Schizosaccharomyces pombe: one gene and its partners. Each later gene encodes a partner of the first gene's protein in a complex. Each region holds a gene or a part of one and is shown on either strand. Other genes may lie near its edges. The genes, in order: rtc6, mrpl40, mrpl17 and mrpl33.

Evidence for each region.
Region 2: rtc6 (region 1) and mrpl40 share a complex: the UniProt entries of both Schizosaccharomyces pombe proteins name them as parts of the mitochondrial large ribosomal subunit.
Region 3: rtc6 (region 1) and mrpl17 share a complex: the UniProt entries of both Schizosaccharomyces pombe proteins name them as parts of the mitochondrial large ribosomal subunit.
Region 4: rtc6 (region 1) and mrpl33 share a complex: the UniProt entries of both Schizosaccharomyces pombe proteins name them as parts of the mitochondrial large ribosomal subunit.

Annotation. Positions count from the first base shown.
Region 1 is NC_003423.3:1,518,089-1,522,050, reverse strand, and holds rtc6 (mitochondrial 54S ribosomal protein bL36m), read left to right. Parts: upstream 1-1,560; coding exon 1,561-1,839; 3' UTR 1,840-2,021; downstream 2,022-3,962. Other genes in the region: Lid2 complex histone demethylase H3-K36 subunit Jmj3, read right to left, coding at 1-607, 664-780; RNA-binding protein Yme2, read right to left, coding at 2,062-3,962. UniProt on the Schizosaccharomyces pombe protein: Component of the mitochondrial ribosome (mitoribosome), a dedicated translation machinery responsible for the synthesis of mitochondrial genome-encoded proteins, including at least some of the essential transmembrane subunits of the mitochondrial respiratory chain.
Region 2 is NC_003424.3:2,666,405-2,675,438, forward strand, and holds mrpl40 (mitochondrial 54S ribosomal protein uL24m), read left to right. Parts: upstream 1-7,388; 5' UTR 7,389-7,575; coding exon 7,576-8,415; 3' UTR 8,416-8,534; downstream 8,535-9,034. Other genes in the region: hxk2 (hexokinase 2), read left to right, coding at 1-779; mrps12 (mitochondrial 37S ribosomal protein uS12m), read right to left, coding at 1,930-2,418; mrpl28 (mitochondrial 54S ribosomal protein mL40), read left to right, coding at 3,409-3,765; Brix domain-containing protein Rpf1, read right to left, coding at 4,125-5,045; SBDS family ribosome maturation protein Sdo1, read right to left, coding at 5,767-6,379, 6,574-6,701; ESCRT III complex subunit Did4, read right to left, coding at 8,695-8,994. UniProt on the Schizosaccharomyces pombe protein: Component of the mitochondrial ribosome (mitoribosome), a dedicated translation machinery responsible for the synthesis of mitochondrial genome-encoded proteins, including at least some of the essential transmembrane subunits of the mitochondrial respiratory chain.
Region 3 is NC_003421.2:2,121,476-2,130,696, forward strand, and holds mrpl17 (mitochondrial 54S ribosomal protein mL46), read right to left. Parts: upstream 4,271-9,221; 5' UTR 4,186-4,270; coding exon 4,068-4,185; exon of another isoform or gene 3,974-4,067; coding exon 3,540-3,973; intron 3,392-3,539; coding exon 3,293-3,391; intron 3,226-3,292; coding exon 3,070-3,225; 3' UTR 2,658-3,069; downstream 1-2,657. Other genes in the region: pus1 (tRNA/U2 snRNA pseudouridine synthase Lsp1), read left to right, coding at 1-266, 332-687, 727-898; SAGA complex deubiquitinating submodule subunit Sgf73, read right to left, coding at 1,276-1,727, 1,799-2,381; twf1 (twinfilin), read left to right, coding at 4,475-4,499, 4,538-4,615, 4,679-5,046, 5,155-5,283, 5,339-5,474, 5,515-5,633, 5,676-5,807; ubiquitin-protein ligase E3 Asr1, read right to left, coding at 6,259-7,974; SPOM_SPCC126.08C (lectin family glycoprotein receptor), read right to left, coding at 8,566-9,221. UniProt on the Schizosaccharomyces pombe protein: Component of the mitochondrial ribosome (mitoribosome), a dedicated translation machinery responsible for the synthesis of mitochondrial genome-encoded proteins, including at least some of the essential transmembrane subunits of the mitochondrial respiratory chain.
Region 4 is NC_003421.2:2,218,588-2,227,015, forward strand, and holds mrpl33 (mitochondrial 54S ribosomal protein uL30m), read right to left. Parts: upstream 3,996-8,428; 5' UTR 3,985-3,995; coding exon 3,935-3,984; intron 3,880-3,934; coding exon 3,636-3,879; 3' UTR 3,617-3,635; downstream 1-3,616. Other genes in the region: wtf antidote-like meiotic drive suppressor Wtf25, read right to left, coding at 540-616, 677-730, 771-1,004, 1,054-1,299, 1,466-1,604; SPOM_SPCC1919.07 (uncharacterized protein), read left to right, coding at 2,996-3,616; tif6 (translation initiation factor-like ribosome biogenesis protein), read left to right, coding at 4,567-4,601, 4,656-4,727, 5,043-5,670; myo52 (myosin type V), read right to left, coding at 6,461-8,428. UniProt on the Schizosaccharomyces pombe protein: Component of the mitochondrial ribosome (mitoribosome), a dedicated translation machinery responsible for the synthesis of mitochondrial genome-encoded proteins, including at least some of the essential transmembrane subunits of the mitochondrial respiratory chain.

The DNA of each region.
Region 1 (3,962 bases):
CACTATGTGCTGAAGGTATCACATACCATTGCAATGAAGAGCCACCTAAATGTACCTGAACTGCATGCAGCTCAGGAGATTCTACCCGCCAAGGAAGGGTAGTTTTCCATTTCCCAGCAAATAAGTGACCAACATTTGGCCAAGTGTTAATCAATGTATTCGATCTTAAATGTACCCTATCTTTTTGAGCAGCAGATATCGAAGGTATAAAATAGAAGGGGATCGATGGGCGATTAGTATATCCATACCACAGACTGTCATGGGTCAAAGAACGCCAATAATATGCAATAGCTTTAGCCACATTGTTTTCAAAGTCATTAGAACTTCCAGCGTTTGAAGGAAACCTGTCGTCGACATTCATATCGGTAGGCTTTTTAGGACCAGCCGAGCCATGGTCTATATCGCTTTGAATCTCGAAGTACTCTCCTTTCCGTCTCACCATTCGCTCTAACCATAAATCCATTTTTACATCGGAAGGTTTCATTGTATCTTCGTTCCAAGGATTTAAAACAGAACTAGGACGAACAACTTTAATTGCGCCGTATTTCTTGCCAAGCCTTTCAACGCGCCGAATAAAACTTTCCATATCTACAAATTCTGAAATTTTCTAAACAAATTTTGTTAACATCCACAAAATATTTAATATTTTTCGCGTAAACTTACTGGTTCCACAACAGGTATGCCATCTGACCCTTCGATATGATAATCGATTTCACACTCCAAAGAACTCACTGATGTGTCACTTTTGCCAGCATGTTTCTCTTTAACATTTTGCTGCATAGCAATCTATTTTTCAGCCTTTGGATTGAATATTTTGGTGTTTTTGAGACATCCACCAATTCGTGGGATTTGCTAAATTTTCCTTTAACAATCTTTTACCAAGGCAAATGACGCATCTGCACTCCAGTTCCATACCCAAATTAGCAAAGTATAACGAACTCGTTATACCAGCAACTAAAAACATAAACAAATTCTCAAAAATTGATCATTTCAAATTAATCGATTAGCATGCCAAACCAAATAACGTAGAATCAAAGTTATTAGATGATGCGGTCAATTAGCTATTTTAGGGACTAAGAAGGTCAGAGACTCAACATTAAAATTTTCATTTGTAAACAAAAAATGGAGCTACACTGTTGAGTTGACTCCACTTTAATAAAAGTATTCCTTATTTTAAAATAATGTGATAAATTTCAGGTCAAATTGCTCCACAGTAAGCTGGCTATTGAATTTATAGAATAACAAGACATGTTGGTTGTCACTAACTGACATGTCGTAGGTTAGCTTACTAGAAGCACTAACTACTATTTATTTTCCCAACAAAGAATATCCAACAAATCGGGCGTAAGCGAGTTTATATAACTTAGTATTCACCTTTTTTTTTTATGAAAATCTTCTCTTGTTGATAGGCATTTTCTATTATCGTTCTTTTTTGGCTCAGTCCAAATTGTGAACACTTTTCCATCGTACATCATTTATTTAGCTCAGAATTACTTCGGATCCAAAAAAATTTAAACATCTTGACTTGAAGTCCCAGTTTCACTTTTTTTTTAACTTATAATGGCTTCATTAGGTCGTAAATTTTTTGCTGTGGGTGTTTTGTCACGAGTCTTCCCTTCTGCTTTTAATGCACAAAAAGGGTTGTTAAAAAATGCATCTATGTTCTTAACCCCTGCTTTCAGACTTTCTCCTAGCCTTCTACCTTGGAACTTTTCAAGAGGTTTCAAAGTGAAAGCATCAGTAAAAAAGCGTTGTTCATCCTGCTATTTTGTGCGTCGCAAAGGTAGGTTGTATGTACTATGCAAAAAACATCCGAGACATAAAACCCGTCAAGGTTAATGACTATAACCGGTTTCGCTTCTTCTTTTTTTTTCTACCTAGGCTAATTCTTCATTACGCTCACTTCATATTACGACGATTTTTGGACTACCTACCAAATCCTTACTCCCTTCTCTCTCGTTAATGCGTAGTCATTAAATGTGATATTATTGTTGACATTATAGCTTCATGCTAAAGAATTCATAAAAACATACGTAATCTTAAATGATATGCTTTCGCATCTTAGTCGATTTTTTTCAAAGCCTCAGTAAGCCTTTCTATACTTTTCTCATTATCAGTAATAACACCTTGATTTTTCTGGATACGCGTCGTTAAGTAATGAGCACGATCCTTCACACCTGATTCAAGGTTCCCAAGGTCCTTTAGCATTTGTAGCTCCTGTTCATCATTCTTGATAGCATTGTTAGCCATGCCAATTAACGCGTTACATCTCACCAACTGCATATTAGCACTTAATACTGGATCATTTACAAGTTGCCGGAAAGCCGTAACATATACAGGTTTTCCAGCGTAGACTTTATCCGGTCTTGCATTCACTGTGGTAATAGTAATCAATTCTGATTCTTCCAAGGCACGAACGGCATCGTCGTGTCCTTTGAACAGTGGGTCAAGCATCAACATATGATAGGGTATATATTCATGTTGAGATAAATAAGTAATTAAGGTCCATGACTCTTCTGGAGTGAACGTTGGCTTCTCCTCACTGGTTAAAGAAGCAGGCCGTAAAAATGTTTGCAAAATATCAGAGGCATTTTGACTTACAATACCGCCAATTGCTTCAGAAACACTGGAAGAATTAACCCGCAACCTACGAGCTACATAATCAAGATCACGAAGTCGGCCACCAATCTTCGGTAATTGGACCCGCAATTCTTTCCTCAATTCTTCTGTTTGCATCTCTTCGGGTAAAGACTCTATGACATATCGCTGAGCAAGTACAGGGTCAGCATCTCCTAATAACAATGTTCTATTTTCCCAACCGTTGACATATTGCTCTAATGACTTGGTGCCTCCAACATCGGGTGTTAGCATTAGTACATGAGCAATTCCTTCCTTTACCAAATTACCAGCCCATTCAGCAACCACTCTCTGCATCGGGTTTGATAATTTACGAAGCTGGAAATTGTCGAGAATAACAACAGGTAAGCGATCTGCATGAACTTCTAAAAACTCAGATTCATCCAACACACTAGTATCGGCTTCTTTATGCTCTCGTAATGCTAGAGAACGCAATACCGTTTGTGTTGTGTTAAGAATTTGCCGCACTTGTCCTTCACTAGAAGAAACAATTCCCGTTTTTTGTCCTATGAGACCTTGTGCAGCCATATCGATAAGTGACGATATGTTGTTTAGGAAGCTAAAGAGGGGGAAATACCCCGTTTGGCTAGCAAGAGTACTTACGAACATTTCCGTATTAGTAGTGGAGAATAAGCGATCACAGTCGAAAAACAAAACATTTTTTCGTTCTTTAACAACTCGATCTACCAGATCACGCTTACCACTACCACGAGGACCTTGAACAACAATAAAAGAATGTAATGCTTCATCCAACCATTCTTTCAACTGTTCACAATCCTTTTCACGTGTTGTCCAAATCGGTGCCTTTATATTTGTACCATTTTCGTGAAAGGGACTCAAAACTATATCGCGAGTTTTCTTTTTGACCCACCCAACAACATTGATATTTCTCAACTTCTGACCATGTACAATGTTTGTCTCGACAAAGAACTTTCTTATCGGATCGAATAAAGAAGCCGTTAAAACTGTAATAGCCGCCGCAACCAAAGGAATAGTAAAACGAGGATGAGAGAATAACCAGTCTTTGAAGGCGACAAAGCGGTTCATATGTCTGTATCGCATGTGGAATTCTGTTTTCCCATAAACAAAACCATGCATACAGTTTAAAGCTGACGTAGCGGACCTTAGCGATGAAAAACTCAAAGTAGCAGAAGTAGGTGAATTAATGGTCACGGATCTTAGTTTTCCATATGTCCTAAAAATACTATACAATCTTTCCTGGGAAAGGGGCGGACCTTCGAAATTCACATCTACTGTACGAGATGGAAATATATATAAATCTTGAAGCCAAGGAATACCATGTACCATGTGTGGAATCGGGGTAG
Region 2 (9,034 bases), on another chromosome or scaffold:
ATACCGTCGGTACTCTCGTTACCCGTGCTTATACTTCAAAGGAGAGCGACACCTTTATGGGTATCATTTTCGGAACCGGTACCAACGGTGCTTACGTCGAGCAAATGAACCAAATTCCCAAGCTTGCTGGCAAGTGTACTGGTGATCATATGCTTATCAACATGGAATGGGGAGCAACTGATTTCTCTTGCCTTCACTCCACTCGTTATGATTTACTTCTTGATCATGATACTCCCAATGCTGGTCGTCAAATCTTTGAGAAGCGCGTTGGTGGTATGTATCTCGGTGAGCTTTTCCGCCGTGCCTTATTCCACTTGATCAAGGTTTACAACTTCAACGAAGGTATTTTCCCTCCTTCCATTACTGATGCTTGGTCTTTGGAAACTTCTGTTCTTTCCAGAATGATGGTTGAACGTTCTGCTGAGAATGTTCGTAACGTTCTTAGTACATTCAAGTTCCGTTTCCGCAGCGACGAAGAGGCTTTGTACCTTTGGGATGCTGCTCATGCAATTGGCCGTCGTGCTGCTCGTATGTCTGCCGTTCCCATTGCTTCTTTGTATCTTTCTACCGGCCGCGCTGGTAAGAAGAGTGATGTTGGTGTTGATGGTTCTTTAGTCGAACACTATCCTCACTTTGTTGACATGCTCCGTGAAGCCTTGCGTGAGCTTATCGGTGATAACGAAAAATTGATTTCCATTGGTATTGCCAAGGATGGCAGTGGTATTGGTGCCGCTCTTTGCGCCCTCCAAGCTGTTAAGGAAAAGAAAGGCTTGGCCTAAATCATGTTAGATGTCTGTTAGCTTTTTTTGAATTGTACGTAGAAATGAGCATGTAAATATGAAATTGCTTTTTAACAGCTTTTAGTTAAGATGTTTTTTTTGAAAGTGAATTTATTTCCTGGAATTAGTTAATAGTATGAAGATTGAATATCAGATGAATTAAAAAGCATGTTGTGATTGATGTTATATGTCTCTTTAAAACAAAATTGTGGTTGTGTATTGTTATTAAATTTGTTACGATTTTGTTAACATTCCAAAAAAGAGTACGGAATTTACAAACATTACAGGACATCTCAAAGATGTGTGTGTAAATTGATTCTAACAAAAAGAAATTTGATTTTTTTTAATCTGAGTTTGTAAAAAATAAGATTCATCATACCCTATTATCTCAAATTTATGAATTATTCGGGTTCAAGATAAAATCTTCTTTTTCTTTCAAGAAATCCAATTAACCAAGATTTGTTAAAAAATATTTTTCTCATCGTTTAGTAAATTTTTCTGCAACGTTGAACGGTGAAGTTGTGCTAGCAATACTGCATACTATATAAATAAGAACCGGAAAGCGTTTTCCAACACCCAAAAGGTGTTTTTTATACTTTATTCAAGAGTTAAAAATTAAATAGCACGGTAGTAAAACCAAATTGAACAAATTAAAAATTGAAAGCGTCTCAAGTTTAAAATTTATTTAAAGAGCTTATATCAAAAAAGTAGAAAACTTTCCAAAAGGATTTCTCAAAAGAAAATCCTCCTCATTTTAATAAATCATTGTTTAGATAGATTTGGTTAAATTTTAACCAAAAGGATTATCTATTTGCTAATTTTTTAGATAACTGGAAATTGCCTAATTACACAATCTTTTTTACCTTTTTTTGATGATTGTATGTTTAAAGGGGATGTAGTTCAACTAAAAAATTGCTTATTAAACATGCAAGAGTAAATGATTATTGAATATGTATAGTTGCAACAAGAAGCAAGGTTGCGAGAAATGACAAATGGGTTGACTCAACTTTTTTCTCATTTAAATTTTTGTTTCAGTCATTTTAATAAGGTCCTTGTGAATCGATATCAAAAGAGGAGGTGGAATAATTATAAAGATAACGTTTCTGAATATCATGGTTTTCGAAAAAGAAAGTCTTTGAGGTCATGAAGTTTAGGCTGCTTTCGGTTTTTTTACTCCATACTTGCTTCGGGATGTGACACGTCCCGCTACACCAGCAATGTCATAGACACCCCGAACAACATGATATTGGACTCCTGGACAATCCTGTGCTCTGCCGCCTCTTAACAATACCACAGCATGCTCCTGTGCATTATGACCGATACCTGGAATGTAAGCAGTAACAGAACGGCCGGTTGAAAGGCGTACACGGGCAACCTTTCTTACTGCCGAATTAGGTTTTTTGGGTTTTACTGTAAAGACCCTCGTGCACACACCCCGTCGAAACGGACTTCCCTCTAAAGCAACAGATTGCTTATTTGTTTTTTCAGGACGTTTCTCTTTATTTCTTATCGTTTGATTTAATGTCTTTAACATAACTGAAGAGCTAGAAAACGCTTGAGCCTGAAATGGTGAAATAACTGTTGGCTTCATCAACCTTGAAATTACCGGATATCGAGCATATTGAGCAAAACGGATCATTATTTGGGGAAATTTAATATTTGAGCTGTATAAAATCTCAAAAATCACTATAATAGATGCTTGAGCAAGGAATTCCGAAGTTTGTACCCGAACGTCGCTGGTTTGGTGTTAGTGTATGTATATTGCCTTGGAATAGAATATCTCGCAGCATTCATATTATTCGATGGGATACAAAAATTTATTCTTTTATATTTTGACAAACATTTTTGGGTATAACTAGCGTATTAAATATTTTTTCCTCTAGGAATTGAACTTTAATGGACTAGTCTAAAACAGATGCAGAATGTAGGTATGCTAATCGACAAATTTACAGTACAGTGTTAAGCTGAAAAAATCAACTTAATTCATGACTTCTACTGAAAAACGTACTGGAAGTAGATTGTATTGAGGTTTAAGCTTCGTTTTGCCATGCCATTTTCAGTTGATGATAGTATTTATTACAATAACTTATCCATTCATTAAAACTTTAAACACTGATATGGATTTATCAATGTGTTTGACTACTTACATGAAACTTAGCAGAAAAATTGAGCATCAGGCCTACTCCATATAAAGCTTTGACTTAAAACTTAATATTTTCTACTTGTTAAATGTCTTCGTTTGGTTACATATCTCCATAAATGCATATGCTTTGTTTGGCTTAGCTACTGAAAATTCAGAAACAATTAAATGAACTCCGAATTATAATCTATATTTTTTTTATCAGTGTGTGAAATTGAAGGGGATTTGATGAAACACTTCTTTTTTTGAAATATCGTACTGGTGGCTTTTCCTAGTGTATCACGACTTACTCTCTTAATTAGCTTCATACCACTGAACACGTTTACTACTACCGCATTTTTCTCTACTCAGGTTTTTTAGCTTTTAAAGGAAGGTTTTATGTTAATACTTTTGAAAATTAAATTTTTTTCTATCAACGTGAAAAAATTCAAGGAGTACTTTAGTTTGTGTTGAAAAGTTTTTTGGCAGATGCGTTCTACGTTACAATTAATGGCTAAGGCCTCAAAGGGAAAGCACCAATCTGGTCCTTCTAATCATAGTGAGTCAATCGATTTGGTTAGAAAAGCTCTTTACGGAAATAAAAAAGTCAGGTCTTTGAAAATGAATCCAGACATGTGGGAAAAACACGAAGTTATTAATCGCGCTTGGCGTATACACGAATATCGACAAGAAAAACAAAGAGAGAATCTTCTAAAAAACCAATTCTCTGCAATGAAAATTGCTTGCGAGGAACTGAAGCATACGAGTGAAACATTATATAAAGCCGCAATGAGCGATTCAATTAACAGGAGGTTCCCCGTAGAAACGAGGACTCCTACGGACACACCACCACGGCTTTCTAAATAGGCGAGCGCCTTTTATGAGTATAATTAATATCTTCGGTAGTGCTCGAAAGTGTTATAGACAAGTTCAAGTATATAAAAAAATGTATCACTAATTACGAGCAAGTATAATCTAATTAGGATTTTTAAATAAACCAATAATTGAATTAAAGAATTATGTCTCCTAGTTTCTAGTCTACATGTATCATATTATTCATTCCCAATTTCACCGTAAACGAATGATACAAAATGAAAGGCCATGCTTTCTTTTTTAACCAAAAATTTAGAATTGTTACCAAACCCAAACCCTACCTCGAAAACAATAAAATATGACCCAAACACTGTTTTCTTTTTACAACGTGTCGCAGATGAGACAAAATGTCTTTAAAGCCAGAATTTACGTCTATCTGATTCTTCACCGGCATTGCTCTCGAAGAAAACCTCCCCTTCTTTCCTATCCCATACTCCTTTTTGAACCATACGAAGACGCATGGTAAATCGAGGACCTAATTCTTGTAGCCCAGTTCCAATACCATCTGGCATATTCGATTTTTCACGAAATGCATAACGGTGTCTTCGAAAAAAAAGAAAATCTCTTTGACAATGGATGGTAACAACTTGTCGCCCTTGAATTTGAGGCGTTTGAATAAATAATGATTGAAAGGCTCGAGCAACAGTCATACCAAGTCTCGTTGAGAAATTGTTGATTATCAGTTCTGGAATATGACCAGTGGAGCGGCCATGATTTGAAATTTCCTTTGCTGTTTGGAGATTCGATAAGGTAAAATAGAACGAAGGGCCATTCGGTAAGTGTACAAGGGTTAATGCATTTGTTTTTTTACGATCCTCATTTAATACCAGTAAATCGGTGTAACCACGCTTAGCAGCGGCTTCTGCGATTTCATGAACTTCAATATCTCCGGTTCTTTTTCGAAATTCAGCATTAGGAAAACAATCTAAAAGCTCAGATGCAAAATCATAGCATTTTCTAGAGGCTCGTTTACTCGTGGTTACCAAAAGTTTCGGAACTTTCCTTTCTTCACTAAAGTATGCAGAAAACTCATCATCTTTTAACTCCGCCTGAAGTTCCTCATCGGGTTTATCCTCTATGATAGTTTCATCATAAACTCGTTTCGATTCAATAGTAGCGGGAATATTTTCTGAAAGTCGCAATCTCTTCTTTTCCGGGTCTTTTTCTTCTTCTTTAGCACGTTCTTTTCTTCTTTCAAGCTTGTCCTTATTTTTTTGATGAAGAGCCTTCATATACTGCTGTTGGCGGACAATTTTGTTTTTAATCTTCCCCATTTTAATAAGTTGCGTATAATCTCTCAAAATTTAAAATTTAAGAATGAAATAATTTAAATCCTTACAAAAAATTGCAACTAAAAAAAATTGAGATAAGAATGAGCAACTTAAGTACAAATAAAAGAGAGTTAAAAAAAAGTATACGATGGGTTTGAAGTCTCAAAAACTTATTGCACAATCCAATTCCATGTCGCAAAATACCGAATCTGAAGAACATGCTACGAATTTCGTCAAATTTGCTTAAAAGTATTAACGCAGTATTATATCACACTGCTGTTAAGCAAAATGTATACTTTAGTTACAATTACTGTTTGTAAATAGGTGATATTACAATCCGAAATCGTACACTATAGATATCCTCATCATTAAATTGTTGAACAACTGAAAGCATTGTGGTAAGGGTTCAACATTCTACAAATCACTCACGCTACTTTCATTTTCACATTTGAATGCGTGCTTTGAATGGAACTAGCAGAAATGAAAGGGACGATAGTCTTTTAATTTCATTTCTTTACTTTCTTTTTACTTTCTTCTGAACTGAATTGCTATATTGATAAATTAAATAATGTTCTGGATAACCAGAACGAATCAGAACGTGTCTTTTAATAGCAAAATTTTTCAAAACCAAAAGCCAATGAACAATGTAAGCAAAAAGGAGGAGGAAAACAGATTAGGGAATTCATATAGAGCGTATTTTCAGAAAGGTTATTTGTATACCTTTTTAAGTCCTAGCCTCGCTCATGTCGAGTACTTGAACCATACCTCGGTTTTTGGTCTCATTTCGGACAAGTTCATCTATCAACTTATAATTCCCTGGAATCACGAGAGCTATGCACTCATATTCATCATCAATGTTTTCTTCTTCAATTTCATCAGCTAAAGAGCGTAAACGCTCTCGTAAAGCTTTTCCCTGTTTGACATCCACCACTATTCTGATGCGCATACGCGCACGGACGATAGGAATTTCGTTTTTTTCTTGCAATTTCTTAATAGCTTCCAGAGCTTGGGACTTTGCAGTTTTACTGGTAGAGACAGAAAAGCCACAATCAGATAATGCTTTTTCAATTATAGATGCTGGATAAGGTCGTTTAGAATTAGGATCCATGCACATCGCAGTAACATGGGAGACAATATCGCGATAAGTTGAAGACATTTGATGATGTCTTTCCTTTTCACCTACTTGAAAATCTCCTTTTTGCAAAATTTCTAAAATAATTTTATCTATATCATCTGTACCAAAAGCCTTTTTCAAATCCTGTCGGCTAGCTACATGTCCTTTAGAAACATTGTTAAACACATTGTGGATTTGTAAAACTTCATCCAGATCTGTTTCACTAAACTTGGTTAGCTATGGTTTTGATCAAAAAAAATTGTACGAGTTATTGAGTTGTTGACACCAGTCGACAAGACACGTGAATTCAAAAAGATAGCTTGTTATAATTTTCTGCTGATCTTAAAGAATATTTATCTGTAGCAAAGGCTGACTCTCACTAATTACAGTAGCTTAATTTAATGAAATCATGCATACATTTTGTTTCTCCATTCTGTAACTTTATTTTTATAACAAGCAACTTCAAATCTTTTCCCTCCTTTCTTATATTTTACAACGGACACATTGGTTAGACGAATTTGTCCAACAGGTTGACTAATAACCATTTTGCTCAAGATGGGTACTTTTTTGGATTATTTTTTGTTATTCTCACCTTCTCTAATTATAGTGTTTTAATCCAACGCCTAAATCTGTTAAACAGGTTAACAATCCATACACTATATATCGGTATTTAGATTTATCTGAAAATTAAACAAAAATTTGATATTTGCGAGCCTGAAAGGCAAAAGGATGGTTCCAATCATTTTTCGGATGTTAACATAATCTTGGAAAACCTTATGGTTAAATATTTAATATAAGTGCAAGTTATTTGTCGGGTTTTCTAAACCAGTTTACAAATCACGAATGATATTAGGCTTTTAAAAATTATTACCTAAATTCAGCAAATACTAAAAAAAAAGTAGAAAACAATAGAAGTATCGACTAAGTTTGAGTTATCCGACAAAACTTCAATCTTACATCCTAGTATATTAACACAACCACTTGCGAAGCGTTTCTATACGATTTCGCTTAACATTTTCAATTTTAAACTTATAAACAAATAGATAGAATGACATTGTCTTAACGAGTACACATCATTTTAATGTTGGTTAACGATGTCGAAGCTGTAGAATATTGCGTGCAAAAGCAAAAGCAAATTTTAAATAATGAAACTTAACCACGTATCGCAAAGTTGCCTTTGTGTAACAATGATCCATTTCTTTACTTATTGACGAAGAGAGTACTCAAATAACAACTGCAAACTACCAGCAGGATACACATTACTGTTTCATAGCATTCTTATTTTTTCTCTTATATTTGGCCATATTTATCCTGTCTAGAGGTTTTACTTTCGTTCCAACATTACAGCGTAGTAAATTCCTCTGTACAAGTGATGTACCACCGTTAGTTATTTAAATATTATAAAACTTTTTGAGCAGAATGAGAGACTTGCGTAAATTAATTCCAAGGCTCCGAGGCCCTGGTACTAACGTCTTAAAAATGAAAAAGCCTTTACCGTTGCATATGCGAACCAAAATACGCGAACACCTCAATAAATCTGATCCAACTGTTAAAGACGATAAATCCGCTAAACCCGAGTTACCGTTTGGAAAGCCAGCTGACAGAGTCCCTTTCTGGCATATTTTTAAAGGGGATTATGTATATGTTCATCAAGGACCTCTGAAAGGAAAATGGGGCCGTGTTGTTGAGACAAACAAATACACAAACGGTATTACCATAGAGGGGGTTAATGTGAGATCCGTCAAAGTACCAATTTTTCTTTTGCGAAATAAGCCTGAAGATAACCAAGATCCAGTAATTGATATTGCTCACGAAGTACATTATGCAAATGTGCGTCTTCTTGCGCATGCAAAGACTGACGCCGGGGAACCAGTTCTTATTCCAGTTAAGCTTAAAAAGCATTCCTCAACTAATCTCCGGTCCATTATTCGGCCTAATATTGAAGGAGTACAAATTCATACTATTCATCTTCCTCGTCCCAAGACTGAAGATAAGCCTAAAGATCCCGAAGGTAAACTCGATACTAAGAATCCAGTAGTTAGTAAAGTTACTTGGTCTCCTAGCTTATCGGAGCCTCCTCTTCCTCCGTTTGCAATTGGCGATTTACGAGCCAATTGGTCTCGCCGTTTAGATCGTATATGGGGATATAAAAAGAACAATGATGATTTTACTGAAATTGCTAAAGATCTTGTCCGAGCAGAGACTGCTGCTGAAGATTTAATAAAAAAACCCATCTCTCCTAATACTTACAGTGATTAAAACAAAAACGATGTTTGGTCGTTGCAAGCATTTTTTTATAACATTACATAATGATTCACAATCTCTAGGTTATAAAGCTTAATAAACTTTTGTAAACTCTTCTAAAAAATTTTTCAAGAAACTTAAATATATTTAACTTAGTAGAGTAAGTGATAAGTGATTTCAATGAAAGTGAAGTATTTGAAGTTTACACGTTAACCTAGAAAAACTTTTACTAATCAATGTAGAAAATCTATACAAATCAAGATCTTTAAAGTCCATTAATCTCTTGTGCGAAAATTAACGCTTTGCCAGTTCATCCAATCTGGCTTGTAAATTGTCTTCAGTCTTTAACTCCGGTACCGTACCAATTTGGGTCGCAGCATCTGGCAATCCTTGAGACAAATCGACTCCAATTTCATCCAACACTTTATTGACAAGTTCATCAGCTTCCTCTTCGTCATCTTCTTCTAAAGCATCGTCCATATTTTCATCAATCATTTCTTGTCTCTGTTCCATAATTTCATTTTCACGCTCGAATTGCTGAGTGATACGAGCCATTGCCGGTATATTCATGCTTTTGTTCATCCCTGTCAATAACTTTGTAAAAGTTAGTTCTATATTTTTCGATATTAAGGTG
Region 3 (9,221 bases), on another chromosome or scaffold:
CCTCTGCTATTGTAAACGAGTTTTTAAAGCCTGACTCTGTTGAAGACGAATCTGCTGGTTCCAAGATTGATCCCAGTTATCGTCTCGAACGTGCACTTAAGCACATTGAAGTACTTAAATTAAAAAATTACCGTATTTCCGCAGATAGGCTGTCCGTTATTCGAGAAACTTTAAACCAATATGTTGGAGTTCATAACTTTCACAATTTTACTGTGGGGCAAGCATTTCATCAGAAGAATAGTAATCGCGTGATCCGTTCTTTTACTGTAAGTAAGAATTATCTTCTTTGTATTTATAGTATTCTTGACAAGTCTTGTTTCTAACATTCTAGGCATCTGATCCATTCATGATTGGCGATACAGAATGGATTTCATGTAAAGTTCATGGTCAATCTTTTATGTTGCACCAAATTAGAAAGATGATTGCGCTTGCTATTTTAGTTGTACGAACGGGTTGTCCTGTTGAGCGCATACAAGATGCCTTTAAAAAAACAAAAATTAACATACCCAAGGGACCTGGTTTTGGACTTTTATTAGAGTCACCGTTTTTTAAAGGTTATAATGAACATAAAGCTCCAGAGAATAATCGTGATCCTATCGACTTTACAAAGTACGAGCAAAAAATTACTGCTTTTAAGCATGCTCATATTTATGATAAAATTTTTCTCGAAGAAGCTCGTAAACAAGTGTAAGTATATTTTTTTCTTAAATTAACTAACCGGTTTAGATTTCATTGTTTTTTGTCTTTTATTGACAGTTATAATGAAGAAGATTTCAGTTATTTATCAGATATAGGCATTACTGAAAAGACGCAAGAGGTTTCCTCAAAATTGCCTGATGTTCTTTCTAGCGATGAAGAAGAAGATTCGGCTGAAAACAAGGATGATTTAGAGGGCTAAAGGATTGATTGTGAGACTGAGGATTTGCAACAAACTGATACCATAAACTTTGCTGTTTCTTTTAAAAAATTAGACTACAAACGTGTACATATATTTTTGGAGAATACTTGTTTCTTTCTTTTTTTTAGAATTGATTATTGGTTTTGGGTTCTATTGGTATTTTTATAGTTTATTAACTTCTACTTGATTATTCCAAATGTTAAGACCGTATGGTGCAATATACAAAATAAAAAATGAAAAAATTAATGAAATAGAAACTAGATGAACGGAGGAGAAAATTAAAAAGTCGAAAATGCGTGGTCAAGTAGACCAAAATGTAAACTATAATCTCATAAAGAATTTAAATCATCAACCGAAGCAAAATCAAAAGAATTTCTTTATAGTGGTTGGCGGGCACTAAAAGGAATCACTCGTCCCAATATAGTACCAGTAACTTGCATACCCTGCTCACCATGTCGAAATGCAGCAGCTATTAACTCTCTAGTACGAAAATACGAATGGCGACGTTTTACGGGTAAAAAAACTTTTTGCTCCAAAGGCTGATTGCCAGATTTCTGGAGAACATTCATAATGAAACTGACTTCTTCATCAGAATCAACAGGCGCTTGATGCTGATTATCTTCGGATTCTTTTGCAGTTTCGAGGATTTGTCGTTGTATTTTTACTTGGTTTTTCTTTTGACAAGCTGCAAGCAAAACATCGTATGGCTGAGATCTTCCCGGAACGGCTCGTTTGCTTGACATTGAATGCGTTTTACATGTGAGAGATCTGGCGCACATTTGCCCATTAGGAAGCAAAACACCGCATTGCTTTTCAACATCCACAGGACCTTAATTGAATGTTAGTATTAAAGTAAACAGGTACTCCATTCTCCATATTGAACAGCATAAACCAACATACCTTTGACCTTTGGATTCTTCTTCTTGCTAGCCTCTTTCTTGGGAAGGGCGGATTTTGTAGGCTTTTTGTTTTCTTCTGTCTTCCGACGTTTTGGAGGCATTTCAGGATTCTTTTGACCATTAACTGAATTCTTTTCATGATTCCCAGCTGAGCCCTTAGCTGTCGATTTAACACCATTTTTGATGGGTGCATTATTGCCATTGTTGACATCTTTGTTTAAAACCTGAGAATTCGCAACAGGCTCAAATTGAGGCTTAGGAGGTTTAATTCCATTGCATGAGCTATGATGGTCCTCAATATACTCTGATAGGAAGGGTCGGTCGCATTTTGTGCATACAACATAATCGAGTTCTGAATTGTTAGGATATGACCCATACTGAGGAAAGGAATCAGCAGGTAGTAAAATTTGAGTTTGATTCGTAATGTTAGAAGTTATTTCATCCTTTACCTGTGATTCTGTATTATCAACTCTTTGATCAGCGAGTACATCTTTGGGTAACCCATCCGGGTATTTCAACAAAACTTGCTCATTTCTTTCCCAATTTTCTGGAAATAACTCCAAAGTCTGTTGTTCTGTTAACATTTTATTGATAAGAACCGAGTTTATAAACAGAATTCTACAAAGTTGCCCTTTGTCAATTCCTTTGTAGTGGGACTAAATCTGTAAGTCAAGTGTATGTACGGTTTAATGCTTCCAGAAAGCAAAGTCTATAATTGCATTCTAATGAACTTTCAAAGGATTATGCTGACACATATCATTTCTGATAATTACTAAATTATACAGACATTGTCTTTAAGGGCTAGACTATGACTGACAAAAGAATTTTTGATCTTGGAATTGAGGACAAACTACGGATATCAATTTTGATTAACAATTCTATTTTTTTAGGTCCCTTGAGCTAAACATAGTTTATTATTAAGGTGCGCGCTTTTCCCGTTTTCTCGTACACTGCCAAGAATCCACAGATCATGAGGGTGAGTAATCATGAAATCCGGACTCCAAAAGTAGGCGGCTGAAAATAAAATACTGGCAGAATCATTTGCAAATAAAAAGATAGAATAAATAAGGAGAAATACTTAGTGAAATTCCAAAATTATTTGTTTTTTTTTACATCGTACCAAAACATCAAAAATTAAGGAGAGAAAAAAATAGAAAACGTGAAAATTAAGCTGAAAAATGCAGTAAGATTGTAGAAAGATTGAATTTCCAAGATGAAATGTTCCGCTGTTTATTTTCCGTAGATTTTACATATTGTTTGCTCAATTGAAGATTACAAACGATCGGAAAGTATGTTTTTTACAGAATCCCATGAAGAAGGAGAAAGTTTGTTTTTCAGTTCATCGTACGTACACCAAACCCAGTCATAAACGTTTTGCAGGTTAGGTACATCTAATCCATTTAATAAACGAGCACGTAACAAGAAGGTCTAGAAATAACTGGTTAAACAAAAAATCAACCCAGATAAAATGAGAACAAAAAATCCGTAGTCTTACCTTTTCTTGTTCCGTTTTTAGTAATGCTAATGGATGACGTGCAACTAGCCAAGTCAACGAATTTTCGTCTAATATATTTTTTAAAAGATCTTGACATAACTACAGTTTGTTAGAAAGGCCAATCTGCAGACTATGTAAACAAAAATTGCAAGAGTATTTGATAAATTATTTAGCATCAAATCAATAGTAAGTAGTCTCTTGCACTATATTGTGTATCTTGGAATCGAATTTTAAAAAATGTACTTACCAGATGCAGCGCCTTCTCGGAGCTTGTAACAGGAGTGTTAGGAAATTGCCAACCCGAGCTTTTAGATTTTTTTACCAACAAGTAAAGGGACTTGTCAAGCGAGCGAAGAGTGCTTCGCTCATCGTTTTTCGTATCAGCTTCTGTGACTCTGGATTGCAAGTGAGTTGCAGAATCCAATAATTTGTTAGACTCCATCTCTTTCCTTTCCTTTCCAAATATCGTCTCAAAGGGTGATTCTTTACCTTTTAGTGTTTTTTGTCGTTCTTGCCAATCTTTTTCACCCACCGATCCCTTCTTGAAATAAAATTCTGCAGGTAAAGGATCACTCAGCTCATTCCAAAGTTCCGCATTATATTTATATATAGATTTTTCGAATTCGGATGGTTGGCGAGTAAGAATTGGCGATCTAATTAAAATTGTACCCACTGAACAACCTAAGATATGTTAGCAATCATGTACATCAAAGGTAATTTTTTTATTTATATTTAATATCCCTAGATAATTCATTTTCATTTTTTAATTCTGTACCTTTTAGAGGAGTCGAGTTAGACAAGGGTTTAGAGGATTGAATGGAATTTCGTACAGAAATGTGAAATTGACGCGAAAAAGACCTCTGCATATTTATAATATTTCTCTTCAAGTACATTGTTTAAACTTAGTCAATTTACGCCAAGTAAATCTCCAAATTTCGGCTTTGTTTACTAATCCGGTAAAGACCACTTGGTAAAGGCAATCGACGTTTCGCTATGGCTAGCACTACCACCTGTTTTACCAGCGTACATTACACGCTTCGTTAAGTACTGTAATATTTCTTAGAGACTCTGTTGCTATCGTTAATATGTTTTAATAGATTTCTTTGGATTTCGTTATAATTCAATTTAACTCACTTAGAATGGGGAATTGCTGACGCAGTAAACCTTTCAATCCCCATAACAATGTCTGCTTCCGTCGAATTAAAACGTAAGAAATTTGGCTAAATTCTTCTAACGTGTGGATAGCTACAGAGAAGTTCAGTAAATTTCTCGAGGAGTACTCTTCGGTACCGGTTCGCGCCGCCATTATTAGCATTTCTAATGGTAAGTTTCCATTCGGGCTAGAAGAGTAAATTTTAAGTTAGTTGAAGTTACTAAATGATTTAGAGAATTCATTTGACGTGAAAACAATGGTTGAAAAATCAGAATCGATAGAATCTGATTTTAAGAAAGTCCGTGAATGTTTGCTCGGATCTGAAGAACCTGCATTTGTCCTCGTTTATGATGATAGCAAGAAAAATCTATTACAATTAATTTCCTATGTCCCTGAAAATGCGAATGTTCGCAGGAAGATGTTATATGCCTCTAGTCGTGCTGCATTTGTAAGATGCGTAACTCTTGCTAAACTCGACGAGTCTTATTTCGCAAGTACTCCGGAAGAGTTAGATTATCAGCAAATTATGAAGAGCTTAAGCAAGCAAGAGGACCAAAGTCCTTTACGACAAGATGAACTCGAAAGGAAAGAGTACAATGAGGTAGGTAAACTGTATTGGGGTGGATGGATTTTTCATACTTCTTTACCGTGGCTCGTAGAATTTATAGCTTCTACTCTTTTATTTGCATCTATTTTAACAACTATGTAGTCTATGCAATCCTCAGTAACTCATAAGCGTCCTTTGGTGACCCGTGGTGTTGCTATGTCGATTGATGATAAAGCCTTAAAGGCTCTTTCTGATTTAAAATCATCTACAGAAAACAATCTTGTTATTTTGGTAAGGAAGCTATGATACTTTTGCTATGTATGGTGTTGCTAACCTCCTTTAAAAGTCTATTGACAAAGAAGTCATAAGTTTAAGTCAAGAAAAGCAAAATATACCTCCTTCTGATGTGAAATCCTTCTTTTCTTCCACCGAACCTAATTTCGCTTTCTATTCCCTGCCAAAAGACGGCTCTTCAAAAATTTGTAAGTACAGATGCAGGATCATTTTATTAACAAGGTCTAGTGTTTATATACATTTGTCCAATGCAAGCAACTGTCAAACATCGAATGGTTTATTCTTCTTCCAAACTTGGTCTTTTGGATAGTATTAAAGCAGAATTGGGTATTGTTATTGATGGCAAGGTATGTTTATCCCTCGTAGTAGATTTTATGCTCACATGACAGATTGAATCGAATGATGCCGCTGATATAACTGAAAAGGAAATTCTTCATGCTGCTGGGATATCAAGTCCTCAAGCAGAAACAAGCACCACCAAAACTGGTTTTTCGAGACCTCGACCCCCTAGAAGACGTTAAGCAAGTATATACAATTTTTTGCGGTTTCAAATTTACAGACTTTTTAGTTTATCAATCTTTTTCATGACATTTCAAATTCGAATTAAAACAAAATATACTACCAACGCCTATATTGAGCACACGTTGCATGCTATATTAACGGTCTCACTTTGCAATGCAAAATGTTATACTTCAATAAATAGAATAAGACAATCACTAGATCTATACATTGTTTCCTCTTTTCTAAAAGCGAAATCCTTAAAGACTCCATTCTTGACGAGTGTTAATCTTGCAAACATATATTGTTCAAACATTAAAGAAACACTATCCTTCATTAACAAAATAAATACTCTTTTGGAAATTGTAATTGACCTCAAAAGTTACTTTCTGATTTCCAAAAGATTAGATATGATATAATATTAAAAGCATATGCACCAAACCATAACTCCTATCATAAATACATAACTCATAATCAGTCATTTGAAAGAGACTGTATACAGTTAACAACCTTTTCCCGTATTGTCTTGCTTATTTTATGTTGCTGAGGTCCTTCAAGCGACAGAGTACCATCCGATAACGCAGTGTATACAGATCGACAGATATTCTTATTGAATAGAGCAAATTGATCTTTAGATATTTTTGCTTCTCGATAATAAGGCTTCAGAGCTGCGTTAACTAGCCGTTCTATTCGATACTTCGTTTCATAAGAGACTTTTTTGCTGGAATGCACCAAATCATGTCGGCCCGAAGTGCGTCGTTGATGCATACTCGTATCATTAACTAAATGATTATCCACAATTTCTCCTGGTTCCGAAAGTTCAATCAAATGGTCATCCAAATTATCATTACTGATTTCCCTAGGTGATAGCGGTACGTGAGATGGTCGAGGAGAGAGATTTGAGAAAAGAGGAGTCAAGTGAACGTCTGAAGTTCCATCCGAAGCTTCAGAGTGAGAATTCTTAATCTCATGTTGTAAACTTAACATAAAGGAAGTATCTATTCGTGAGGTGCTTGGCTGGTTGATGTTGCTAATTAAACTAGCGAGAAAAGAATTCTCTGATTTAGATGATGAATTATTGCCTAATACTGTAGAAGATCCTGAGGATTTATTAGAACAAGGAATGTGCCGACGAGTAGGTCGCTTTTGCCTCCTGTCGTGACTCGTGGAATTTGGGTCATTCACAAATCGAGTATCTTGTTGATGATGTTCTTCTATAGGCGTTTGCTGAAATCGACCCGACGAAGGTCGTGGGTTACTAATGGTAGCCTCAGTGGCAACGGAGTGGACCGATGAATTCGCATGTAGAATTTCATCAAAATCATTCCATGCTTGCTGCTCAGAAGCATTCGTTACTGGTGTCTGCACTACTCGTGGCTGCTCAACTGGCTCATTGAGCTGGTTGGAACGTAGACGTGCACTCTCAATACGACGTCGCAAAAGTTCAGACGAGACGTCACGAGCAGGCAGTCGTTCTTGTTGCATACCATAATATGAGAGATCTGAATTCAATGCATCCCAAGCTCGATTTCTAATGGCATTCCAAGCACGTGTCCATGCACGCTGCTGTTGTTGAGAAACTCGCGAGGCACGAGCAGCTGCTCCTACCCTTCTGCGTCTTGTCTGGCCTCTTCGAGAAAGAGAAATACGTGAAGAGAGTGTTTCATTTTCTTGATAGTTTAACAATACACAATTAGGGCAATAGAACTCTTCTATAGGTACTGCATCCATGTTTAAGCAATATGTATGATATGCATCATCACACCCATCGCACAACAAAAGCACCTCAGCATGATCAGAGCGGCCACATATGACACAGCGACAGGTTTCGGAACCTTCGTCTTCAAACGGCTCGCCAGCATTGGCAACGCTTTGGGTTTTCTCCTCCACAGGGTATGCACGATACCAGGGTCCCTTCACGAATTCAAGTACGTCAACTTTAAGAAACTCCGTTCTACATAGAGGACATGTATTTGCAACTCTGCACCATGATTCCAAGCAGTGGTTGTGAAAATAATGTCCACAAGGAATTTTCGCAATTCGAAGACCATCCAAGGTCGACGAAATCGAAGCGGGAACACTACTGGAATCCCATTGATCTAAGGGACAATTTGGTAAATTACTAAGACAGATGATACACTCTTCAGAGCTATCAGAATCTGCCGGCTTTGGATCTTCTTCAGCGTTCATTAATGTGGGGGCCGGAACCACAACGGGGCATTTGGTGGTGGGGGCGTAAAGCAGTAGTTATACAACGAAGGTGATGGTAGAAGGAGAGAAGGAAAACTGGCTCTTTAAGGGGTTCAACATTTTGTTTAACGAGTTTACTAACGTTATTTTGAAGTTACGCAAACGAGAGAGATTTGTAAAGTATATTAACAATTTCCACTGTACTACATTATCATAATGAAAGTGATCGATCGACAGTATTGGGAGCAGAGTGGAAATGAATAGTTTAATAACAAGGAAGGAACAGTTTAAACGGTTAAAGAGTTTGAAAGTGAAAGAATAATTTTAGAAAAAGAATTATCACATATATTATAGGGAAGATATAGAAATGTGAACGAACGATACTTTATTATGGTAATGTTAATTTCATATTGAATGAAAAGAGAATGAAGAGGTGAAAGAAAAGGCGATTAATACATAACATATCGTGGCAAGGAAGAAGTATGGGTTTATGAGAAAATAAAGTACTAGACGATATGGAAATCAATATCGTTGAGATATATGAAAATCGTGCTGCGGAAAGAAAGAAAATTCGCAGAAAGACTTTTTGCTTTAAAGTACGGTCGTACGACGGTTCTTCTCTTGTTGAACCTGATAAGAGCGAAGGGCAAAGATGGAAAAGATGACAATAAGTGAGAGGAGCAAAATAATGAGACGCTTTTTGAAGGAACCCTTCTTCTGTCCATAAGTAGTACCTTTCAATTCCTCAGCAGGAATTTCCGGAGTTCCCTCATCGTCAATATCGGTAATTGTACGGCTCAAAATACTGGCAATTTCATGGGATTCACTTAAATCACCAGTATGAGCGCTGAAACTCATAAAGGTGGTAAGAGGTAATTCGACTTCATTAAGATCAAAACATTTAATAAAGCTAGAAGAACCTTGATAAGCAATTTCAAAACGTAGCTTTTTGGCATTTTTGTCATATTTTAGTTTACCCAAATTATAGTCATTTCCGCGAACGTTCAAAGCAGAACAGCTTGCAATCTCATTGGCTTTGCCATCGTTTTCATAATCATAAGGAGTATGTCCATCCCCCTTCATCACAATTACACGAGGGAATAAAGTTCCCGGACGATGGTTGTTGTACGTATCAATAAAAATGCCATAACCATTAAACTTGTCCGTAAATCCAAAAACCGGTCCAGGTTTGGCGCGCTCAGCAGCTAAAAAAAACGCAAGACCATCTCCAAAAAGGGAGGTTGATT
Region 4 (8,428 bases), on another chromosome or scaffold:
GGCTTCCGCAAGTAATGTTGCTAATTCTCATGAAATTAATATTATTAATCATTAATTCATAAACAATGAAAAATTAAGAATTAACTAGTAAGTAAGGTATAAATTATTGATTAAATTCCTGTACTTTTCTATGGTAGTCAGCAGCACTCTGAAGGTCACAGAAACTAAATTATGAAGATAAGTAGCAAATTCAGGTTCCCTTATTTGAAATCGTGACTATTTTCAAACTGCTGTTTTCGACTTAGGTTAAAATGTTTTGTCATCGTTATCAAAATCACTTTCATAATTAATCAAAAAATTTAATGTCCAGTGCATATTATTCTTATGTTGCAGAATCTTTCAAGCAATGCACTTGCTCATCCAATTCGTCAGGAAATGAAACCATGCAATAAAAATACAGTGTAATATACTCTAAACAAATTCATTTGAACGTTTTGGTAATCACAATTATAAAGATGCTTCTTCCCATTGCACATTCTTGTAGAGAGTTTCGTGTAAAAAGCACCTTTGTAATACAAATAATAAAGCTAGCAATATATTTAGGCTTCACTTTCAGGGTTCATTTCACGCAACAGAATAGTGGCGTCTTCATTCACGTGCTGTCTGATCTCATAACCTAATGATGATTAGCAAACACATTTAATGTGATTTTTTTTTTTTTTATCATCAAATTTACCATAAAATGCTAGTGTTCTTTTCACCAAATCTGTAGAGCAAGATCCCGGTTCCACTATGTTGTCAGTATTAATTTTGTTTAGTAAACAACAAACCTGTTTCAGCAATGAATATGAGAATGCTTGATACAGCCATGAAAGTGAAAGCGGATGCCGAGCATTTCCACCCCCATCGTTGATCACCCAAATGTGAACTCAATTTGTTTTCAGCTTTTAATAAAACCAAGCAAAATAAAGAACTTTTACAAAAAGCAAAAATCATGTTTCTCCAATTTTTTAAAAAGTGCTTGATTCCTTTTCCGCAAGCCTTGGACCAAGTTTCATAGAAGTCTCATGAGTTAGTGAATGAAGGTAAGATTAACCACATTGTCTCACTTACAAGTCAAGAATATTAAAGCCAAAGTGCAAACAAGACACCAAAATCCAAATAATGTCCATTCCGCTGCACCATAATTTTTAAAAAAAGCGTCCTTATACTTTAGATAACAAAATGCTGGAGCATTGAATAGAATGATTGAAGTGAATGATATTAGCAGTATTATCAACAAAGGGGAAGAATTATCTGTCGTCCCATAAGAATGGTTTTCTCTATGTGTGTTAAGAGGATTATTTACAAGTGCATGATCTGTTTAAATTAATATAATGAAATACTTTAGTAAAGAAAGAGCATGTATCAAAGTGTGTGCATTGCATGGCCGACTGTAAACAATGACCAAAGCATGCAATTTGACAAGATGGCAAGTTTCAACTTTCAATTGAGTAATTCCTTTCTTATTATTTACAATTCTTACCTGAATATGGTGGTAACGCGCCCTCTTCCTCCGAATCATATTCTGGGAGTGGTCCTTTTTCCAAATCGATTTCATGATCTGTCTTCAATTCATCTTCTTCATCTAGAGGACTTTTCAAAGAAGTGTAATTATTCTTCATTTCATCAAGATCATTCTTTATTTAATAAAACACATGCGCGAATTAATTGCTGTGATTGCGACAAACGAAACAGCGAAATCAAGAATATTCGCTCTGTAGTCCAATTCCAACCACTTCAAAGACTTTTTAACAAAATAATAAAATTGTTCAAACAATGGCATAAAAAAAGAAGAACGAAAAAACTGAACGAGGCAGTGGATTGCTTCTGACACATTTATTCTGTCACTGCCCTTTTTATTCACCCCAACTTAAATTTCCTTATAAATCATATTGTAAACATCATTACAGTACGTTGTGTATCACTAATTTCATATGTTAGAAATATTTGGCAAATCATGTATCTAAATATAGACATCAGTTGATAACAAAGATTAGGAAATTTATAAATGGAATTACGGCTGCCTCTCACTCCTCAGTTCAGTTATTAGCTATATTGGTAATTGATACTATTAGACATCCTTATAACAATAAATATAATAGTATTAGTTAGCATAGCGTATACCGCTATACTGTAGTTCGCAAGAGAGTCACTGCAGTTCAATGTATCGTTAAACAGATATCAACTGCGTAGCTGACATATTTTTGTGCATAATTATAATTCATTATTTATGATTTGATAATTTCGTATTTGTACTAAGAATTGGACGAACGATGAGCGATGGTATTAGACAGATGAATTTTATCCTTTATCATTTTCTGTCTTTTTGTTTGTGTACTGTTTCTTTTCTTTTCTTCTTCTCTTCCTTTTTTTTTTGTAAAGACTGGCAAGTGGAATTTATCAACTGTATTATAGACTGTTAGTTGCAAGCTCGACGAACTTACGAATTGAGTTTATAATTATATTTTAACAAACTTGCACTTTTAAAATTCCTATTTTAACTAGTATGATTTGTAAGTAAGCCTTTAACATCACAATTTATACTGCAAATGAAAAAACCGAAACAACTGATGTTACCATCGAATAGTAGGTTTTTTAGGAAGAATTATTTAACGAGAAGTAATTGTATAAAAAAAATTCTAAACTTTTGGTTACGAAAAACGATCTAGGTTCCTTCGATCACCCAGGTCTGCTGAACTCTGGTAGATAAACTATCTTGAAGAAGCTTCCCCAGAAACCTGTCTATTATACATTCAAGTAATGTACAATCATTGAAAAGTTTTTTTTTAGTGTTCAGTCGAGTGCGAATTTTTATTAAAAAGCGCTAAGCAAGTTTGGCTTAAAAAAAAAAAAAAAGGATTCTTCTTTATTATTGCTTCAAATTTTATTATACTCGAGTCGTTAAAAATATAAACCACTACGAGAAAAGAAAAAAATTGACCAACATTGTAAAAAAACTTATTGTCTTATAGGGTACAGGTTCCTCCTTGCCTCTTCAGACACGACGTCCCATATGGTAGTACAAGATAAATGGAAGAGAAAAGCGACATTAGCGTATAAAAAAAAGCATGACATTCATGATGCACCTGTAAAACCTCGTAAAAAAAATTTGGGAAATAACGAATGGAGATTTAAAAATGCAGGGGAATACTTTGATGAAGATAACAATGAGGAAGAATATCCAAGTTTGGAAAGTTTGAAGACCGTGGGGAATGGAGATACAATTCAAGATGAAGAAGAAGATTTCGAGTATTCAAAACTACAAGCACGGCCCCTTACTGGTTTGGGAATTAGCAACCAAAAACCCAAGTCCAAAGTTCGGACTATCCAACGTGAAGAAGTAGCCGACATGTTGGAGAGCGTTGAGCATGAAAAGTCAATTCAAGAATTCCGTAAGCGTTATAATGTACAAAAGCCAAAGGTAAACATTAGCCATGCTGAAGCGGAAGAAGATATTGATTCTTTTCTTGAAAGTATGGATCAGTCTGCTCCGCCTTCCATTACAGAAGATAAAGGGGAAAATTACATTTCTTCTAATCATTCCAGCATGCATATTTCAAGAAACGACTCTAGGAACTATATGTCTGAAAAGCCAAACAAAGACCAAAGTTGGTTAGATGAACTATTACGATAAATATAACTAGAATGAAAATTTAACTTTCAAACATGTTATTCAATTCTTTTAAACCGTTATTGTATCGATGTATCACTGTAAATCCGCTACTAGAAGCAAGAGACTTCTTTTCTTGCCCAGCGGCTAACTTTTGTTTCACAGTACTGACACTAACGAGTTCTTTTACTTTAAAAATTCTTCCCGCATTGATTGGATTTACATCGCAATAGACTACGGAGTGTCTTTTTGTTAACCTCAAAGAATGCAAAACGCTGCGCACCTTACTAAAATATTGGTTAGCAATTACAAGCATGTTTTTCTCGTTTCCAAAACACGTACCTCGAGAGCCCGATGGCTGACCTTTCTAAACGAACTCGAAAGAATGACATTATGGTAAACTAGAAGTTCGTGGAGTCCGTTTAACACTAAATATTGAAACTCTTTTAGTTCAACCGATAAAATACAATTCATATCGCAAGCTCGTTATTGTTCACTATTATTCACTACGTTGCTATCTATTTAACGATACATTGAATTACGATGAATTTTTTGCGATCCACATTTAGTGGAATGCAGTATATTAACTACAATGTTATATTTATTGTTATAAGAAGTCTATTAGTGTAAGTCACCGATATGGTTAAAAAATGGAGAGGAGCGATTTACAGTAACATCTATAATTATCATCTTTCTAGTAGTTGTAATCACATGGTGTCTATGAGTATAGACGACTACTTATCTGTTTACTGTCAATAAACGGATCTTTACTAATATTCCAACATGTAACATATAGTGATACGCAACCTAGTAAATCATTAGTGTAATGCAGTATTACCGATATATCACAAAAAATTATGTTAATTGGTATTACGTGTCTGCTTCACAATGCTAATATCATATTAACGATGTTCAATGGATTATTATTTTTAAGATGTGAAATTTGGCTGGGATAAAACTTTTTCTTTACCAAAATGGCACTTCGTGCTCAATTCGAGAATTCTAATGAGTAAGTTTACTCAGCTTTTTTGCTTAATAGACGCATGATATTAACAAATTATAGGATTGGTGTCTTTTCTAATCTCACAAACTCATACGCACTTGTAGCGCTTGGAGGCTCTGAAAACTTCTACAGGTAAGCTTAACGTTTATTTGATGCCAAAATTTAATGTTCTAAATGTAAACGATTCAAAATTTTTTTAAAGGTTCTTAAAATCCTTAACCAGTCGAACGTATTATGAGAAAAATAAATAGCACATATGTGAATGATGTAGCCTAACTACTCTTTAATTGAGTAAAAGAGACTTTGCTACATAAATGCAAACCACTACTTAAACTCTGGCGGTTTGCTGTTCATTACCTTTATTATTCCTTGACTCGATGCAGCTCGACAAATTATTTTTTTTGGCATTTTTTACATTTATCAACTTTTCACTAACTTTTATAACAGCGTGTTCGAGGCAGAGTTAGGTGATGTTGTACCCGTTGTTCATACCACAATTGGAGGAACCAGAATCATTGGTCGTTTGACATGTGGTAATAGAAAAGGTCTGTTAGTTCCCTCTTCTACCACCGATAATGAACTACAGCACCTCCGCAATTCTCTTCCAGATCCTGTCAAAATCCAACGTGTTGATGAACGACTTTCAGCTCTAGGAAACATTGTGGCTTGCAACGACTATGTGGCCCTTGTTCATCCTGATATTGAGCGTGAAACCGAGGAAATTATTGCTGATGTCTTAGATGTTGAAGTTTTCCGTCAAACCGTTGCAGGCAATGTTTTAACCGGTTCGTATTGTGCATTGAGCAATCAAGGTGCTTTGGTTCACCCTCGTACTAGCATTCAGGAACAGGATGAATTGTCATCACTTCTTCAAGTTCCTCTTGTTGCCGGTACCATCAACCGTGGTTCCGATGTTATCGGTGCTGGTCTAGTTGTGAACGACTGGTGTGCGTTTGCTGGACTTGATACTACGGCTACTGAATTGGCTGTCTGTGAATCTATATTTAAACTTCAAGATGCTCAACCTTCTGCTATTATAAGCAACAGAGACACTCTTGTTGAGTCTTATACATAAGCAGTCGGTGTGAGCTAACTAAAAAATTATTGATCAGGATTTATGAGTTTGGATAATTCATCCTACGTGATATTTTCCTATTAAAGTTTTAATGTTGATACGTTATACGTATGTATCTGGTTATAAAATTTTTGATATGCCTTTCGGTTTAATAGTCCTATCCATTGTGGTACCCAAGCTTCCTATTGTAGAAATTTACAATACAAGTTTTTTATAGACCATTATAACACTTAAGGGACTTCCGTAATCGTGTTTATTTTTATTATGTCAAATAGATTTTGAAAATGCTTTTATTGCTTTGCTTTTTGTCTGTTCTTAACACATTCGGATTTGTTAAGCTATTCTCGCTTATAGAGTAGAGCTTCTTGCTAACGCTGCATGAGACTTCGTACTTCAATTTACGTGTTTTATTAAGTAGTTTGCAGCCTTTATATTAAAAATGATCTAATAAATATACTTTCTTTTCAGTCTTTGGTGACAAACTAGTTATGGAAAGTATTTCGATGTAGGTATTTTTTGACTGAAACCAATGCGTACTCCGCAAGCGAAATAAATATTTAAGAATAAATTAAGTTACCAAGTAACTATACAAAGTGGGGAAGTAGAATAGACTACAATACTCATAGATATTTATATTTAGCAGTAAATAAAACTCGTAAAAGATTGTCATTATCAGGATGTTTTGATTAAAACTTCCACGGAAACTAAGGCCCAGCTCCAAATTTTGAAAGTAAAACCCCTAATTAGGGAATAAATAAGTAGGCAGAGCACCTTGAAAAATAACTAGATATTAAACTTTAATACCATTTGGTACTTGATTTTCTTCGTCGCTCGAGTTCTGTACATCATTGTCGGCTACGTTGCCTACAGTGATCAAAGCTTGCTCAACACTTTCTTCTGCACTAGCAAGGTCGATGATACGACGCAAATAGGTAACATTACAATCATCTGGTATCTTTATTTTTTCAAGAGATGGAGATTCCTCAAAACTATCTTGTAGTCTATAATCCAACACTTCGTAAGTAAGTTGTTCCCTTTGATTGATGCCTTCAGCAACAATATTTTTGGACAATTCAGACATAGTTTTTTTCGGTACATGAGCCTCGTAGTCAGCATAGTCATAACGATGTAAGAGTGTTTTTATTTGCAGAAAATTAAGAGCATAAAAGTCGCGGACCCTGGCCACATAATTTGGATCATCTTTCACAAATTGTAGTATCTTGGAGGTTTGTAAAAGCTCTTCGAGCTGCAAATAAGCTTCCGGAACACCACTTTCTAGACACCAATCCTTAAGAACATGATAATTGTATGAAATATTGGTACCACGTTTCCAAGATCCACGTTCATCAATAAAAAGTGAATTGAATGCCTCCACATTAATGAATCGATATATGCTTCTAATCAATGCATTATATATTTCATAATTAACTTTATAGGCCTGACAAGAATCATGCACCTTATTTAGTACATGTATTACATCGGTGATTTTGTATTTTGGTTTCTCAAAAAATTTAATCCGTAGTTTTCGATTCTCATCTCCAGCATCCGTATTTGTACCAGTAATAATCATTGCCTGAACAATCAATGGCTTTAAAAAATTATTGACTTGCCTAACCCATTCGAAAAAGATTTTTGACAGATGTGATTCAATCATCTCAAAAATGGTTTGCACTGATTCATGAGATTCGGTGGATAAAAGAGTGAAAGCCGAGGAATGTTTAAACGCCTGCTGCTTAGTATAAACAAAAGCCAAGAGCGCATGTGTATTTGCAACCCAAAATCCGATGTCAGGTCTCTCATTAGCAGATGATGTCTTTTGAAATACGTATTCTAAAGTGTGGACACAGTAACGCTCAACCAAGGCAACACTTTCCTGACACAGATTTGATTTCCACATTTGTGATATTATTATAAAAAGTAGTTTTGCTAAAAACAAATGATCAAGTTTCTGAGCCTCAACATCGTTGTCCTTTAGTAATAGAGTTTTAAGAGTTGTAAATGTTCTACCTGCATATTCTGTGAGTTTGTCAAGATCGTGCTTCAAGCCATCGTTCATTAATAGCACAAGCATCTCTTTTTGAGTACGCATTTCCATCAATGAACTATCACGACGTGATTTCTCTTCCGAATTGCGCGACTGTTCGATACTAGAGGCCGAATTCAGTATTTTAGTGGCTTTTGTCAGACTAGCAATTATCCTGTTTTTCTCTTTCAACTGAGAGGTTTGCTCAACAATAATCATATCGTAATTTTTAAGCTGCGACTTCAAAGTTGCATTTACTCTTAAAAGTTCGGTATTCGCATCGTTGACTTGCCTCATCTCCTCTTCCATCATAATCAAAGCGTTTTCTTTCTCTTCAAGTAACTCCTTTAATTCCCCATCTTGAGATTGATCCGATATAAGTACCCTAGTTTGCTCAAGTTCTCTTTCTTGTGCTAACTTTGCTTCAGCATAGTTGGACAGATGAGACTCCAATTCAGCGATTCTTTCCCTGAACTTGTTATTTTCCTGCTCCGAGTTGTCCAACTGTTTTGAAATCTCAAACAATCTGCTTTCAAGCCTGTAAGATACTTGCTTAAGGTGACTCGCTTTAGTGGATTCAATTTTTAATTCTGTCAATTGTCGCTTTGCAAGTTTCATCCTCCAAAGAGACTGGATACGAACTGCATAATATTGTAGTTCTTTGTAGTGCTTATGGGCTTTAAATGTTAACCAAAGACTTTGAATAATTAATGTTGCATCATGCTTTGTCTTTTC